Anolis sagrei: one gene and its partner. Each later gene encodes a partner of the first gene's protein in a complex. Links are inferred from orthologs where the notes say so. Each region holds a gene or a part of one and is shown on either strand. Other genes may lie near its edges.

Region 1 (7,603 bases):
ATGGCCATGAAGCCCGGAAAACTCAAAGCAATGCAGTGATTCCGGCCAAAGCCTTCAAAAACAAATATAATAATAATAATAATAACCTTTCCTTATGCTATCCAAAACTACATTTTAAAAAACAACCGAGTTACCAGTCTTGTTTGTAACCCAGAGGCTGCCTGCACAGGACAATACCGTCCCTATTACATGACTGTTGCCACAAGCATCTTGCACAAAACTTGACCTAAATCTCACTCCTTAAGACTAGTAGCAGCCCTCACTGGCAGCACAACCGACCCATCAAACTCATGGCCTTTCCCATTTCCACTCAGGGAAATAAAAAGAAAATGAAAAGAGGCGGGGGGCATACAAAACAGTGAGAGGAAGAACTTTATAAATCAAGCCAGGCCTGTGCCTGAGTGAAGTTACCAGTCTTGTTTGTAACCCAGAGGCCGCCTGCACAGGACAACACCATCCCTATTACAGTAGAGTCTTGCTTATCCAACATAATCGGGCCGGCAGAATGTTGGATAAGCAAAAATGTTGCATAATAAGGAGGGATTAAGGAAAAACCTTTTAAAAATCATTTATGGTTTTACAAATTAAGCACCAAAACATCATGTTTTACAACAAATCGAAAGAAAAAGCAGTTCAATACATGGAAAAATTGAAAGCAAAAGCAGTTCAATACATGGTATTGTTATGTAGTAATTACTGGATTTACAAATTTAGCACCAAAACATTGCAATGTATTGAAACAGCTGTGGATCCGGGCGCAAGGCAGATTGCATTGGATAATACAGAACGCTGGATGAGCGAAGGTGGCAAAAGTATGATAGCTGTGACCCAATCCCGAGATAGGGCAGCGAGTGAGAGACGCAGGTGCGACAGAGTCATGGCAAGATAGTTTGCCAGAAAAAGGGGGGGACAGAAGGGGGGGGCAACAAACAGCCAAGCATAGTGCTTAAGGCTATCCGGATATCGTATGCAAACACATTCAAATACGTAACGTCTTCACTTCTCTAATTCTGACCCACATCACAAAACTAGCATTGGTCCCGGCTATCATACTTTTCCTAGTTGGATATACAAGACTCTACTAGGTGACAGTATGATAGCTGGGTCCAGAAGCTCCGAGCATTACACACATTCTGCAACGACTGTTGTGAATAAGGAAAGGGACCACGTGAGGGTAGAAGGACAGAAAGGAGGGGAGGGTTAGGATAAGTTTTAGGGAAATGTTTAGGGAAAGGTTTAGGGTTTGGATCAAGTTTAGGATAAGGTAGGGTAAGCTTTAGGGTTAGGATTAGGGGTTAGGCTTAGGATAAGGTAGGGTAAGGGTTTTCATTAGAGTTAGGATTAGGGGTTAGGCTTAGGATAAGGTTTAGGATAAGGTAGGGTAAGATTTAGTGTAAGCTTTAGGGTTAGGGTTTGTGGTTAGGCTTACGGTAAGGTTTAGGATAAGGTAGGGTAAGCTTTAGGGTTAGGGTTTGTGTTAGGGTTAGGATTTGGGGTTAGGCTTAGGGTAAGCTTTAGGATATGGTAGAGTAAGCTTTAGGATAAGCTTTAGGTTTAGGGTTTGTGTTAGAGTAAGGGTTAGAGGTTAGGCTTAGGGTAAGCTTTAGGATAAGGTAGGGTAAGCTTTAAGGGTTAGGGTTTGTGTTAGAGTAAGGGTTAGGGGTTAGGCTTAGGGTATGGTTTAGGATAAGGTAGGGTAAGCTTTGAGGTTAGTGTTTGTGTTAGGGTTAGGATTAGGGTAAGATTTAGGGTTTGGGTAAGGGTTTGGGTTTTACCATTAAAGAACTCTTACATTCCTTCTATAATATCGCGTTGTGCAAACAGCGCTTCTGAAGGAGTGAAGTGGAAACACTGTCACGCTCCTAGCTTCCGGACCCAGCTATCATACTATTACCTTCTATTGTACACAAGCATTTTGCACAAAACTTGACCTAAACCCCCTCCTTAAGACTAGCAGCAGCCCTTGCTGACAGCACAACCGACCCATCAAACTCATGGCTTTCCCCATTTCCTCTCAGCAGCCTTCAGGGGAATCAAAAAGCAAACGAATGGGAGGTGCGGGAAGGAAAGAAACATACAAAGAGGCGCGGGGGAGAACTTTATAAACCAAGCCAGGCCTGTGTTGGAGTGAAGGCGCTGCTTAAAAGCATGGCTGCTTCCTCCCACAATGCAACCCGGGCCTCCATCCTCCTGGGCAATGTCAAGACCTCTCTCTCTGTGTGTCTCTCTCTATTTCTCCCCGCCTTGGGAATGAGGAAAGGAGAGGAAAGGGAGGTGGTCGATAGAAGCCGGTACTCACATCCGTCTATCTCCTCCTGCAGGTCCTCCTGAAGCAGCGACAGATCTGGATTTGGGGGAGAGGGAAAGAGGAAGGGTGTTACATCAAAACAATACGGCAGGAATATAAGCTGCAGCTGAGGGAGGGAAGGGGCTTCCTTTCCCGGCCTCGCCCTCTTTGTCTCCGAGGGGCGTGAAGGCCTCACCTTTTCCTCGCGCTGAGGGGGAATCGAAGGGCGAGGCCTACCGTGGGCCAAGGCGTCCCACAAGCCCTTCCTTCCCTCCCTCCTTTGTACACTACATGTATGTGTGTGTCCCCCCGCAACCGTGTCCCCGACGCAGGCGCGGAGAGAAGGAAGGAAGGGAAGCAGGAAGAGAAGGAAGGAAGGAGGCACCCCTTCCTCAGGCCGGTCTCCTGTGAAGAGTAGACTTCCCTCTTTTCCTGGTGCTTCTTTTGAGGAAGGAAGGAGGGAGGGAAGGGGAGAGGGAGGCGCGCGCAACCTACCCGCCATGTTTCCTGAGGCCTCCCCGCTTGGGGTCGACCATGGAGGGGAGGCTGAGGCGGAGAGAGGCCTTCTAGGCCCAAGCGGTGCTTCCGGGCGTCCCCGGGAGAGTCTCCCGCGAAGGCAGGCGCCCGAGAGAGAGGGAGAGGCGGGCAGAGAGACAGGGAGGGAGGGGTTTGGGCCGGACACCAACGCCACCGCTGCTGCTGCCCCCGCCTTCGCCTCTGCCGGGGAGGGAACCAGGGCGAGCCCCGGCAGCCCGAAGGAAGAGAGGGAGGGACAGAGAGAGAGAGTAAAGAAAGGAAGGCAGGCCTCCGCGGGCCTCTCAAGGCCGGCTCTGCAGAGGACTAGAAGCAATACCTTGCCCCCGCTTGCCACGCCAGGCCTCCTTTTGCTCTGTTCTTTTCGCCACTGCTCTTTTGCCTGGCCCCGAAGTTTCCAAAAAGGAAGAGAATGACAGGTTGACATATCTTCAGCCTTCTTTGCCAAAGGGGTTCCTAAAACCATCAGAAATATATATTTTCTGATGGTCTTTGGAGACCCCTCTGAAACCTCCTTGCAACCCCTCCAGGCCTCCTTCCCAGCTCCTTCCCTGAATTCAGATTTTTACATTCCTCTTCTGGCTTTTGCTCTGTTCATTTCACCACTGCTCTTTTGCCTGGCCCCCAAGTCTCCTCCTGGCACCGATTTTCCTACTTTGGCTGTTTAGTTTCTTCCTCTGTTCAACTACTTGACTTATGTGTCAAACTCAATATTGAATCACTGGGTTGCTGTAGATTTTTTCGGGTTATATGGCCATGTTCTCGAGGCATTCTCTCCTGACGTTTCGCCTGTATCTATGGCAAGCATCCTCAGAGGTAGTGAGGTCTCTTGAAACTAGGAAAATGGGTTTATATATCTGTGGAATGACCAGAGTGGGACAAAGAACCCTTGTCTGCTGGAGCTAGGTGTGAATGTTACAACTGACCACCTTGATTAGCATTTGATGGCCTGGCAGTTTTTTGGTGTGGCTTGCTAGTGCCTGAGGGAATTTTTTTGTTCAGAGCAGAGGAGTGCTTTTGGTGGGAAGATTCACCATCTGTTTCCAAAAAGGAAGAGAAGGACAGGTTGACATATCTTCAGTCTTCTTTGCCAAAGGGGTTCCTAAAACCATCAGAAATATATATTTTCTGATGGTCTTTGGAGACCCCTCTGAAACCTCCTTGCAACCCCTCCAGGTCTCCTTCCCAGCTCCTGCCCTGAATTCAGATTTTTACATTCCTCTTCTGGCTTTTGCTCTGTTCATTTCACCACTTCTCTTTTGCCTGGCCCCGAAGTCTCCTCCTGGCACCGATTTTCCTACTTCGGTTGTTTAGTTTCTTCCTCTGTTCAACTATTTGACTTATGTGTCAAACTCAAGGTCGAATCACTGGATTGTTGTAGGTTTTTTCGGGCTATATGGCCATGTTCTGGAGGCATTCTCTCCTGATGTTTCGCCTGCATCTATGGCAAGCATCCTCAGAGGTAGTGAGGTTGAATCCTTTTCCCCTGCCCTGTCATTTTTATGCTTGGGCAGAACTGCAACTCCCATGTTCCTCATCAGGACTAGAACTGATGACCGTTGTAGTACAGTCACATCCAGTTTGTTCTGTTTGTTTATTTATTTATTTATTTACGGCGCTTATATGCCGCCCTTCTCACCCCGAAGGGGACTCAGAGCGGCTTACAATATATATTTTCATACAATATATTATATTATTAGCAAAGTACAATATCAGTATATATTACTATATTGCACTATACCATTATATTGTAATATTATTAGTAATATTACATGTAATTAAATATATAATTATAATTATAATATTGAATTATTATTACTAGTATTATATTGTATTACATTATAATATTATAAATATTATATATATATACAATATACTATATTATATTATTAGTAAAGACAAGATGGCAGTGTCTTCTGCTCCCCTCTGTCTTCTCTCTGGCCAGAGCAGTCATTGGTGCCAGAAGGGGGAGGGGCCTCTGAAGTGATGATATAGGCAGAAGACAAGATGGCAGTGTCTTCTGCTCCCCTCTGTCTTCTCTCTGGCCAGAGCAGTCGTTGGTGCCAGAAGGGGGAGGGGCCTCTGAAGTTTACTTAGGATAGGCAAAGGGAAAGGTTTCCCTTTGACATTAAGTCTAGTCAAGTCCAAATCTCTGGAGTGGTGCTCATCTCCATTTCGAAGCTGAAGAGCCGGCATTGTCTGTAGACACCTCCAAAGTCATGTGACCAGCATAACTGCATGGAGCACCGTTACCTTATTTATTTATTTACAGCTTTTATATTCCGCCCTTCTCACCCCGCAGGGGACTCAGGGCAGATTACAGTGTACACATATATGGCAAACATTCAATGCCAATTTTTTTACATACAATCATACACAGAGGCTATTTAACTTTTTCTCGCCGCCAGGGGAGCTGTCGCTTTCATCGTCCATCTGCGACGCTGATGAAGCACTTCCACATTCCCCGCATGCTTCACCGCAGGAATGCTTTGCTGGAGTCTTCTTTTTATGGCCTCATAAATCAGTTAATATTAGCTTCCCCACACTTTAAGGTGGTACCTAATTTTCCTACTTGACAGATGCAACTGTGTAGCCTGGTTGTAGTCCGGGTTGGAGTGGGTTTCCAACCATTGTGTAGCCTGTTGTTGACCTTTGCAACTTTTCGGGTTGCAAAGGTCAACAACAGGCTACACAATGGTTGGAAACCCACTCCAACCCGGACTGGCTTCGAACTCATGATCTTTTGGTCAGAGTGATCTTAATGCAGCTGACACTCAGCCAGCTGCACCACAATCCTGCGCCACAGAAGCGGTACTTACTGATGTACTCACCTTCGCATGTTTTCAAACTGCTAAGTTGGCAGATGCTGGGCCTGACAGCAGGAGCTCACCCACTCTCTGGATTTGAAACACCAAGCTTTCAGTCAGCAAGTTCAGCAGCTCAGTGGTTTAACCCACTGCGCCACCATAGTTGGAATAATGGGGATTTAATTTAAATCAGGCAAGGGCAAACTTCGGCCCTCCAGGTGTTTTGGACTTCAACTCCCACAAATTCCTAACAGCCGAAGTTTGCCCATGCCTGCTCTATAAGCTAGGTCGCATTACACCCACCCACCCCCAAGATGGATGGATGGTATCCTTGAAGTGACTGGCTTGACTCTGGAGGAGCTGGGGATGGAGACGGCCAACAGGGAGCTCTGGCTTGGGCTGGTCCATGAGGTCATGAAGAGTTGGAAGCGACTGAATGAATAAACAACAATTACATCCCCCCCCCCCCAACCGTGGGAGAAATAAGATTGAATACTGTGAAAGCTACCCACTTGCATGGCTATTAGCCTCCTCCCAGTAGACTCAAATCAAAGGAAAGTTTCTTGAGAACCACCACTCCTCTTGGCATCCCCGCAGCAACAGCAGGAGAATCCCTCTGGGCAACTAAACCAGGAAATCCCAACTGGATGGCCCCCATGAGGGTCTTCCTCCAGGGACAAACCAAGAATGGGGCAACTTGGAAGTCCCTGAACAGATTCAGAAGTGGTGTTGGGAGATCAGAAGACAACCTGGCAAAATGGCATGAATTAGAACAGTGGTTTTCAACTTGTGGGTCCCCAGATGTTTTGGCCTACAACTCCCAGAAATCCCAGCCAGTTTACCAGCTGTTTGGATTTCTGGGAGTTGAAAGCCAAAACATCTGGCGACCCACAGGTTGAGAACCACTGATCTAGAAGAATCGTCCACCTTGTGCTACTGTGGAGCAGAACAAACAACTCAGCATCTCTATGCTTGCCCACAATGCCCTGCCTCATGCACAGAGGAAGAACTGTTTAAAACCGTAGTTCCCAACCTTTTTTTCACCAGGGCCCACTTAGACCAGGGACCACTTTCCAACATCAATACCAAAAGGGTTATGATCAGTTTTTGGTCAACTTTAGATTCAGTTTGGTTATTTGGGGTGCTGATTCAGAAAATTGCATTGGATAGACCGCATTGTATCTAGTTTCTTATACCAAACAAATACCATCCAGTAGTTGCCATCTGCTCGCTCACAGAAAACCATATTTAATAATCTACAGCTGATGTGGTCGTAGTAATCTTTTGTGGGTAATCAGCCTCTCCCCTCCAGACATCCCCGTTGCCTTGGCACCATAAGAGGATTTCGTGAGACCAGTCACTCTCGCTGCGTGGTTCTGAGGCAACTGCGTAGTAATGTGAAGCCGCGGACCATATTCTCATTCACTGATGGTCCATAGACCACAGATTGGGAACTGCTGGTTTAAAGCTATAGACAATGCAGTTGCTGTTGCCTATTTTTGGTCTAAAATTACTTAGCTGCTTGTGTTCCCTCTGTTTTGGTGATTCTCAATCTGTGGGTCTCAGATGTTTTGGCTTTCAACTCCCAGAAATCCTAACAGCTGGTAAATTGGTTGGAGTTGTAAGCCAAAACACCTGGGGACCCGCAGGTTGCGAGCCACTCCTCTATTTTATCAGTTTTATACTTGTTTGTTTATGCAATACTTTTGACACAAAATAAACAAACCTTTTCCCCAACCTCAGAGCCACAAATTCTGTTGGGTTGCCATTCCGCTTATAGGCAGTCCTCAAGTTACAAACCTCTGACTTACAAATGACAACAGGAAATGAGAGGCATCTATCCCTCTAAAGGGAAATTTACTCCTGAAAGAGTTATCATGGGGAAAAGATGTCTTCACTGAAACTTTGTCACCAATCCTTTCATCCACAACAAGCCAAATTTTTCAAAATCCAATTATCACAGGGACAGAAGGTG
Region 2 (6,920 bases), on another chromosome or scaffold:
TTTGCATGATTATACTATCATAGAATCATTGAGTTGGAAGAGACCTCATGAGACATCCAGTCCAACCCCCTGCCAAGAAGCAGGAAAATTACATTCAAAACACCCCCGGCAGATGGTCATCCAGCTTCTGTTTAAAAGCCTCCAAAGAAGGAGCCTCCACCAGCAGCCCAGCCCCAAAGTACCACTGAACATCCCATGAGCATTTTTACTTACTGTTACTGGGGAATCTACTCTCTGGACATTGCTTTCTTCCACCAAAATCTCTCTGTTGGGGAGAAAAGATACATTATACTTAACTAATTATACATTTCCCAGCTCCAGAACAGAGATGTCCTGGAGGCCAGAGAGGCCATAAATAATAAATAAGAGTTTTTTAAAAATGTCGCCAACTACTCACCTGGCTTTGGCACAGAGGGCTTTGACTTCACTCTCTTTAATGAGTTCACAGCGCCGTAGTTGTTCAATCTGACGGTCAAGGTCACTGATTTCGGCCATCTTTCCCCCTGTAGGAGAAGAATGGATGCAATTCCTTTTTAAAAACATTCCTCGGCCACATTTTATAAAAAGTTTCCATATCAGTATACTAAAGGCCTTGACAATGAATAAAACGAGGACATACAGTAGAGTCTTGCTTATCCAACATAAACGGGCTGACAGAACGTTGGATACGCAAAAATGTTGGATAATAAGGAGGGATTAAGGAAAAGCCTATTATTTACAAATGAAGCACCAAAACATCATGCTTTACAACAAATCAACAGAAAAAGCAGTTCAATACACAGTAAAGTTTTGTAGTAATTCCTGTATTTATGAATTTAGCACCAAAACATCACAATGTATTGAAACATCTGTGGATCCGGGTGGGAGGCCGATTGTGTTGGATAATACAGAACATTGGATTAGCAAAGGTTGGATAAGCGAGACTCAACTGTACATCTATGATGCGCATAAGATAAAACTAAAGACATCTCCAAATAATCCCCTGGAGGATAAACCCTAAATGATAAGAACCCCAGGCATAGGTCCTGTTTCCAGTATTATCTAATTGTTGTAAAGCAGGCATGGGCCAACTTGGGCCCTCCAGATGTTTTGGACTTCAACTCCCACAATTCCTAACAGTCTACTTGCTGGGTTGTTGTAGATTTTTTCAGGCTATATGGCCATGTTCTAGAGGAGTGGTTCTCAACCTTTGGGTCCCCAGGTGTTTCAGCCTCCAACTCCCAGAAATCCCAGCCAGTTTACCAGCTGTTAGGATTTCTGGGAGGTGAAGGCCAAAACATCTGGGGACCCACAGGTTGAGAACCACTGTTCTAGAGGCATTCTCTCCTGGCGTTTCGCCTGCATCTATGGCAAGCATCCTCGGAGGTAGTGAGGTCTGCTGGAACTAGGAAAATTGGGTTTATATATCTACTTGCAGTGAGGAATTGTGGGAGTTGAAGTCCAAAACACCTGGAGGGCCAAACCTGGCTCATTCCTGCTGTAAAGAAATGGAAGAAATATTAAAACAGGCAAACAATCAATCAATCAGTTCTTGTGGGTTTTTTCGGGCTATATGGCCATGTTCTAGAGGCATTTCTCCTGACGTTTTGCCTGGTGAGGTCATCTCTGAGGATGCTTGCCATAGATGCAGGCGAAACGTCAGGAGAAATGCCTCTAGGACATGGCCATATAGCCCGAAAAAACCCACAAGAACTGAGTGATTCCAGCCATGAAAGCCTTCGACAAATCAATCAATCCTTTTATATGAATATTGGGCCTTCCATATTCTATCAGACTGTGACCTCCCCTTCACCCCTGACTAATCGTATGCCTTTTATAGTATTCATGGTCTTATGTCTTTATCTATAAATTTTAACAGTGCCCTGCTTTGAAGAGAGATAAGTAACGAGATAAGTAAAAGAGGTAAGTAAGAGAGATAAGTAAAACGTATATCATTGTTGTTATGAGGTAAGAGTAATGTGAGCTGCAATCCATGAGCATCTGAAGGCTCTCACATTCCCCATTCCATCCAAGAATCCATGAACCAATAACACAGTGGTTCTCAACCTGTGGGTCCCCAGGTGTTTTGGCCTACAACTCCCAGAATTCCCAGCTGTTAGGATTTCTGGGAGTTGGCAACCAATAACACAGTGGTTCTCAACCTGTGGGTCTCCAGGTGTTTTGGCCTACAACTCCCAGAATTCCCAGCTATTAGGATTTCTGGGAGTTGAAGGCCAAAACATCCGGGGACCCACAGGTTGAGAACCACACAGATGGACTTCTACCAGAATGAAGAAGGAAACAGAGGAAAGACAGTCCAACCCAATCCTAATTCTCCTCCTCAATAGTCTAACCCAAGCATGGGCCAACTTGGGCCCTCCAGGTGTTTTGGACTCCAACTCCCACCATTCCTAACAGCCTCAGGCCCCTTCCTTTTCCCCCAGGAAGGGGCCTGAGGCTGTTAGGAATGGCGGGAGTTGGAGTCCAAAACACCTGGAGGGCCCAAGTTGGCCCTAAAGAAAACAAACTAAGCATTCTATGCTGCCTGGGAAGATGGTGGAGTGTCCTTTTCTGGAGGTTTTTAACCTGAGGCGGGCTGGCCATCTGTCGGGGGTGCTTTGATGATGTGCCCCTGCATGGCAGATGGGGGGCTTCTTCCAGGTCTTCGAGACAGTACCCGAGGGGAGGCCTTTCCCCTCCTCCTCCCAAGGCCCCTGACCCCTCCTCCTTCGAACCCCGGTCTCTATGGCAACCCGCCTCCCCCGCCCCTCAACACCAAGGGGGAAGCGAGGCGCATGCGCAGAAGGAGCCTCGCCACTCACTTGGGGTCCCGGCAGAGGCGGTGATGGCTGCTCCGCGGCTCCCTCCGGCTCCGGGCCCGGCCCTTCCCCCTCTCCTCTCCCTTTCTCTCTCTCTCTGCCTCTGTCTTTCCGGCTCTCACTAACTACAGAACACAGGGCGTCACTTCCGCTTCCTCCTTCGACTGAGGCCCAGCTGTGGATGGAGGCCGACTGACTTTCCCCTGATTCCCCCGGAAGTGACATCATTTTCTCAGTTCTCTTCTTAATTCAAGGCAGGGGTGGGGATTTAAAAGGAGCGGAGGAGGCTCCGGAAGTGACGCAAGGGCGGCCTCTCCATGTGTCGCTCAAAATGTCTCCCGGGCCTACTTCCGGTTTAGCTTTTTTTCTCTCTCTTTCTCGACGCTTCCTTGTCATTCCAGCTCTTCCCTCCATGATGTTTCATGTACAGGATTATAGGCGCCCATATGAATGCCAGAGGGATTTTTTTAGGTGTCATTGACACCACTCCTCCAGGTCTTTTGGACTACAACTCCCACAATTCCTAACAGCCTCAGGCCTTTTCCTTTTATAGCGGGTATGGTCAAACTTGGGCCCTCGAGGTGTTTTGGACTCCAACTCCCACCATTCCTAAAAGCCTCAGGCCCCTTCCTTTTCTTATGGTCCACAACAATTGCAATTATGAAAAGCAAAAACTCCTCACACAGGCCTAATATAGGCATGGGCCAACTTGGACCCTCGAGGTGTTTTGGACTCCAACTCCCACCATTCCTAAAAGCCTCAGGCCCCTTCCATTTCTTATGGGCCACAACAATTGCAATTATGAAAAGCAAATACTCCTCACACAGGCCTACAATAGGCATGGGACAACTTGGGCCCTCGAGGTGTTTTGGACTCCAACTCCCACCATTCCCTACAGCCTCAGGCCCCTTCCTTTTCTTATGGGCCACAACAATTGCAATTATGAAAAGCAAAAAATCCTCACACAGGCCTAATATAGGCATGGGCCAACTTGGACCCTCGAGGTGTTTTGGACTCCAACTCCCACCATTCCTAAAAGCCTCAGGCCCCTTCCTTTTCTTATGGGCCACAACAATTGCAATTATGAAAAGCAAATACTCCTCACACAGGCCTACAATAGGCATGGGACAACTTGGGCCCTCGAGGTGTTTTGGACTCCAACTCCCACCATTCCCTACAGCCTCAGGCCCCTTCCTTTTCTTATGGGCCACAACAATTGCAATTATGAAAAGCAAAAACTCCTCACACAGGCCTACAATAGGCATGGGCTAACTTGGACCCTCGAGGTGTTTTGGACTCCAGCTCCCACCATTCCTAAAAGCCTCAGGCCCCTTCCTTTTCTTATGGGCCACAACAATTGCAATTATGAAAAGCAAAAACTCCTCACACAGGTCTACAGTAGGTCTACCTCAGCAAGCGAGAGTCCAAAAGTGGCAGGCTCAAACCCAGCACCTCAATCCATGGGTGATACCAGATGAGAGACTCCCTCCTGGGCACACAGAAGACTGGGCGACTTGGAAGGCATTGAACAGACTGCGCTCTGGAACCACGAGATGCAGAGCCAATCTTAAGAAATGGGGCTACAAAGCTGAATCCACGACATTCAAGTGCGGAGAAGAGCAAACCACAGACCACCTGCTTCAGTGCAGCCTGAGCCCTTCCACATGCACAATGGAGGACTTTCTTGCAGCAACACCAGAGGCACTCCAAGTGGCCAGATACTGGTCAAAGGACATTTAATCAACTACCAAGTTTGCAAAATGTGTGCTTTTTAAATCTGTTTGTTTGTTTTTTTCTGTTAGAAATGTAATACAATGGTATGGTTGCTGATGACATGATAAATAAATAAATAAGTAGGCATGGGCCAACTTGGGTCCTCGGGGTGTTTTGGACTCCAACTCCCACCATTCCTAAAAGCCTCAGGCCCCTTCCTTTTCTTATGGGCCACAACAATTGCAATTATGAAAAGCAAAAAATCCTCACACAGGCCTACAATAGGCATGGGCCAACTTGGACCCTCGAGGTGTTTTGGACTCCAACTCCCACCATTCCTAAAAGCCTCAGGCCCCTTCCTTTTCTTATGGGCCACAACAATTGCAATTATGAAAAGCAAAATCTCCTCACACAGGCCTACAATAGGCATGGGCCAACTTGGGCCCTTCAGGTGTTTTGGACTCCAACTCCCACCATTCCTAAAAGCCTCAGGCCCTTTCCTTTTTCCCCTCAGCCACTTAAGCTGGCCCACGCCTGGGCTACATACATTAAAGTTGCCAGGTTACAGGGCAGGAAAGTGGAGACCAAATCGTACCATCTCGAAGGACCCTTCCACACAGCCCTATATCCCAGAAGATCAAGGCAGAAAATCCCACATCTGTTTTGAACTGGAATATATGGCAGTGTGGACTCAGATAACCCGGTTCAAAGCAGATATTGTGGATTTTCTGCCTTGATATGCTGGGATATAGGGCTGTGTAGAAGGGCCCTAAGGCAAAAATATAGTATCTGCTTATGTTCTTCCTGAGATTTCAGGGGAAAAAGTCAAAACTTGGCTCTTTGGGCAAGCTTTCGCGAATGCAGCGAAACAGGCAAATATGGAACGACTGGACGATGGCATTCTCGGTGGTGGCCTCTGGCCCCCCATCTCTGGAACTCCCTCCCCAGGGAGATTAGGCTGGCACCCTCCCTAGCCACATTCTGTAAGGAATGAAAGATGTGTATGTTTTGTCGTGCTTTCGATTGACGACACCTATGATAAATGACCTGTATCATGACTTGAATTGTCATTCAATTTGATGTCCTATAGTATATTAACTGATCCTGTTAATTTACTCTGTTTCCATGATGTTTCCTATGTCGTTATCCACCTTACTAAACCACTTATGCTTTAACTAGTTCACGTAGTGGTTTTCCTCCCCCTCTCCAAAATTAGTCTGCTGTTATTGTTGTTGCTAGCTATTATTATGTTGTTTTACACTGTTTATGCTCTCGTAATTGTTTTTTGCTTTGTTTTTAATTGTATTCTGCTTTGGGCTTGGACCCCATGTAAGCCGCCCCGAGTCCCTTCAGGGAGATGGAGGCGGGTTAGAAAAATAAAGTTCTTCTTCTCCTTCTTCTTCTTTGTCTTCTTCTTTTTCTTCTTAAAATAGGATTCCATAGCATTGAGCCTTGGCAGTTAAAGTGTTAACAAGCTGAGTGAATGCCACAGTGTAGATGCATTCTTACTCAAGGAATACAGGCAGCCCCTAAGTTACAAACAAGATAGGTTGTATAGGTTAGTTCTTAAGTTTTGGGGTTTTTTTGTGTGTGTCAGGAGCGACTTGAGAAACTGCAAGTTGTTTCAGGTGTGAGAGAATTGGCCGTCTGCAAGAACGTTGCTCAGGGGACGCCCGGATGTTTTGATGTTTTACCATCCTTGTGAGAGGCTTCTCTCATGTCCCTGCATAGGGAGCTGAAGCTGACAGAGGGAACTCATCCTCACTCTCCTCAGATTCGGACCTCCGATCTGTCAGTCTTCAGTGCTGGCAGCACAAGGGTTTAACTCATTGCGCCACCAGGGGCTCCAGTTCTTAAGTTGAATTGGTATGTAAGTCGAAACAGGTTTATTTATTTATTTATTGTGTCAGGGGCAATCATAATTGTATTACATTTCTAACAGAACAAAACAAACAAACAAACAGGCACAAAACAAAATTTGCAAGCTTGGTAGTTGATTAAGTGTCCTTTGACCAGTATCTGGCCACTTGGAGTGCCTCTGGTCCAGAATTCGAAACAGGTACTGTAGGGGGAATGGCTCTCTGGAATTCCTCCTGCTCTCTGCACATTGTCAGGAGTCCCCTGGGCTCAAGAGGATGATGTAATGGAAGACATACCACAAATTGAATACCAACCGTGGAAGCTGTTTATTGAGGGCCTAGCAATAGCGACAGAATGCATGGCCCATAAAAGGTCTGTCACACACCCCCAAATAGGGTTGTAAGGCATTATCACTTTGACAGAGAATTAAATACACATTATCATCAATTAACGATGTCTCTCTCAGTCCATTTTTAGGTATAACTCCAGTCTTGAAAAATTTGGTTTCATCTGGAAACAGTAATTGGGGATGAAACCTTGGTGGAGACA

What was found. The genes of interacting proteins can lie anywhere in the genome.
Region 2: PPP4R1 (region 1) and PPP4C share a complex: the UniProt entries of both Homo sapiens proteins name them as parts of the PP4 complex. The link is inferred for Anolis sagrei from reciprocal best matches to the Homo sapiens genes PPP4R1 and PPP4C.

Annotation. Positions count from the first base shown.
Region 1 is NC_090024.1:64,871,006-64,878,608, forward strand, and holds the start of PPP4R1 (serine/threonine-protein phosphatase 4 regulatory subunit 1), read right to left. Parts: upstream 3,018-7,603; 5' UTR 2,790-3,017; coding exon 2,783-2,789; intron 2,682-2,782; exon of another isoform or gene 2,484-2,681; intron 2,345-2,483; coding exon 2,300-2,344; intron 1-2,299. UniProt on the Homo sapiens protein: Regulatory subunit of serine/threonine-protein phosphatase 4. May play a role in regulation of cell division in renal glomeruli. The PPP4C-PPP4R1 PP4 complex may play a role in dephosphorylation and regulation of HDAC3.
Region 2 is NC_090026.1:17,473,441-17,480,360, reverse strand, and holds the start of PPP4C (serine/threonine-protein phosphatase 4 catalytic subunit), read right to left. Parts: upstream 3,010-6,920; 5' UTR 2,802-3,009; intron 504-2,801; 5' UTR 496-503; coding exon 398-495; intron 266-397; coding exon 214-265; intron 1-213. UniProt on the Homo sapiens protein: Protein phosphatase that is involved in many processes such as microtubule organization at centrosomes, maturation of spliceosomal snRNPs, apoptosis, DNA repair, tumor necrosis factor (TNF)-alpha signaling, activation of c-Jun N-terminal kinase MAPK8, regulation of histone acetylation, DNA damage checkpoint signaling, NF-kappa-B activation and cell migration.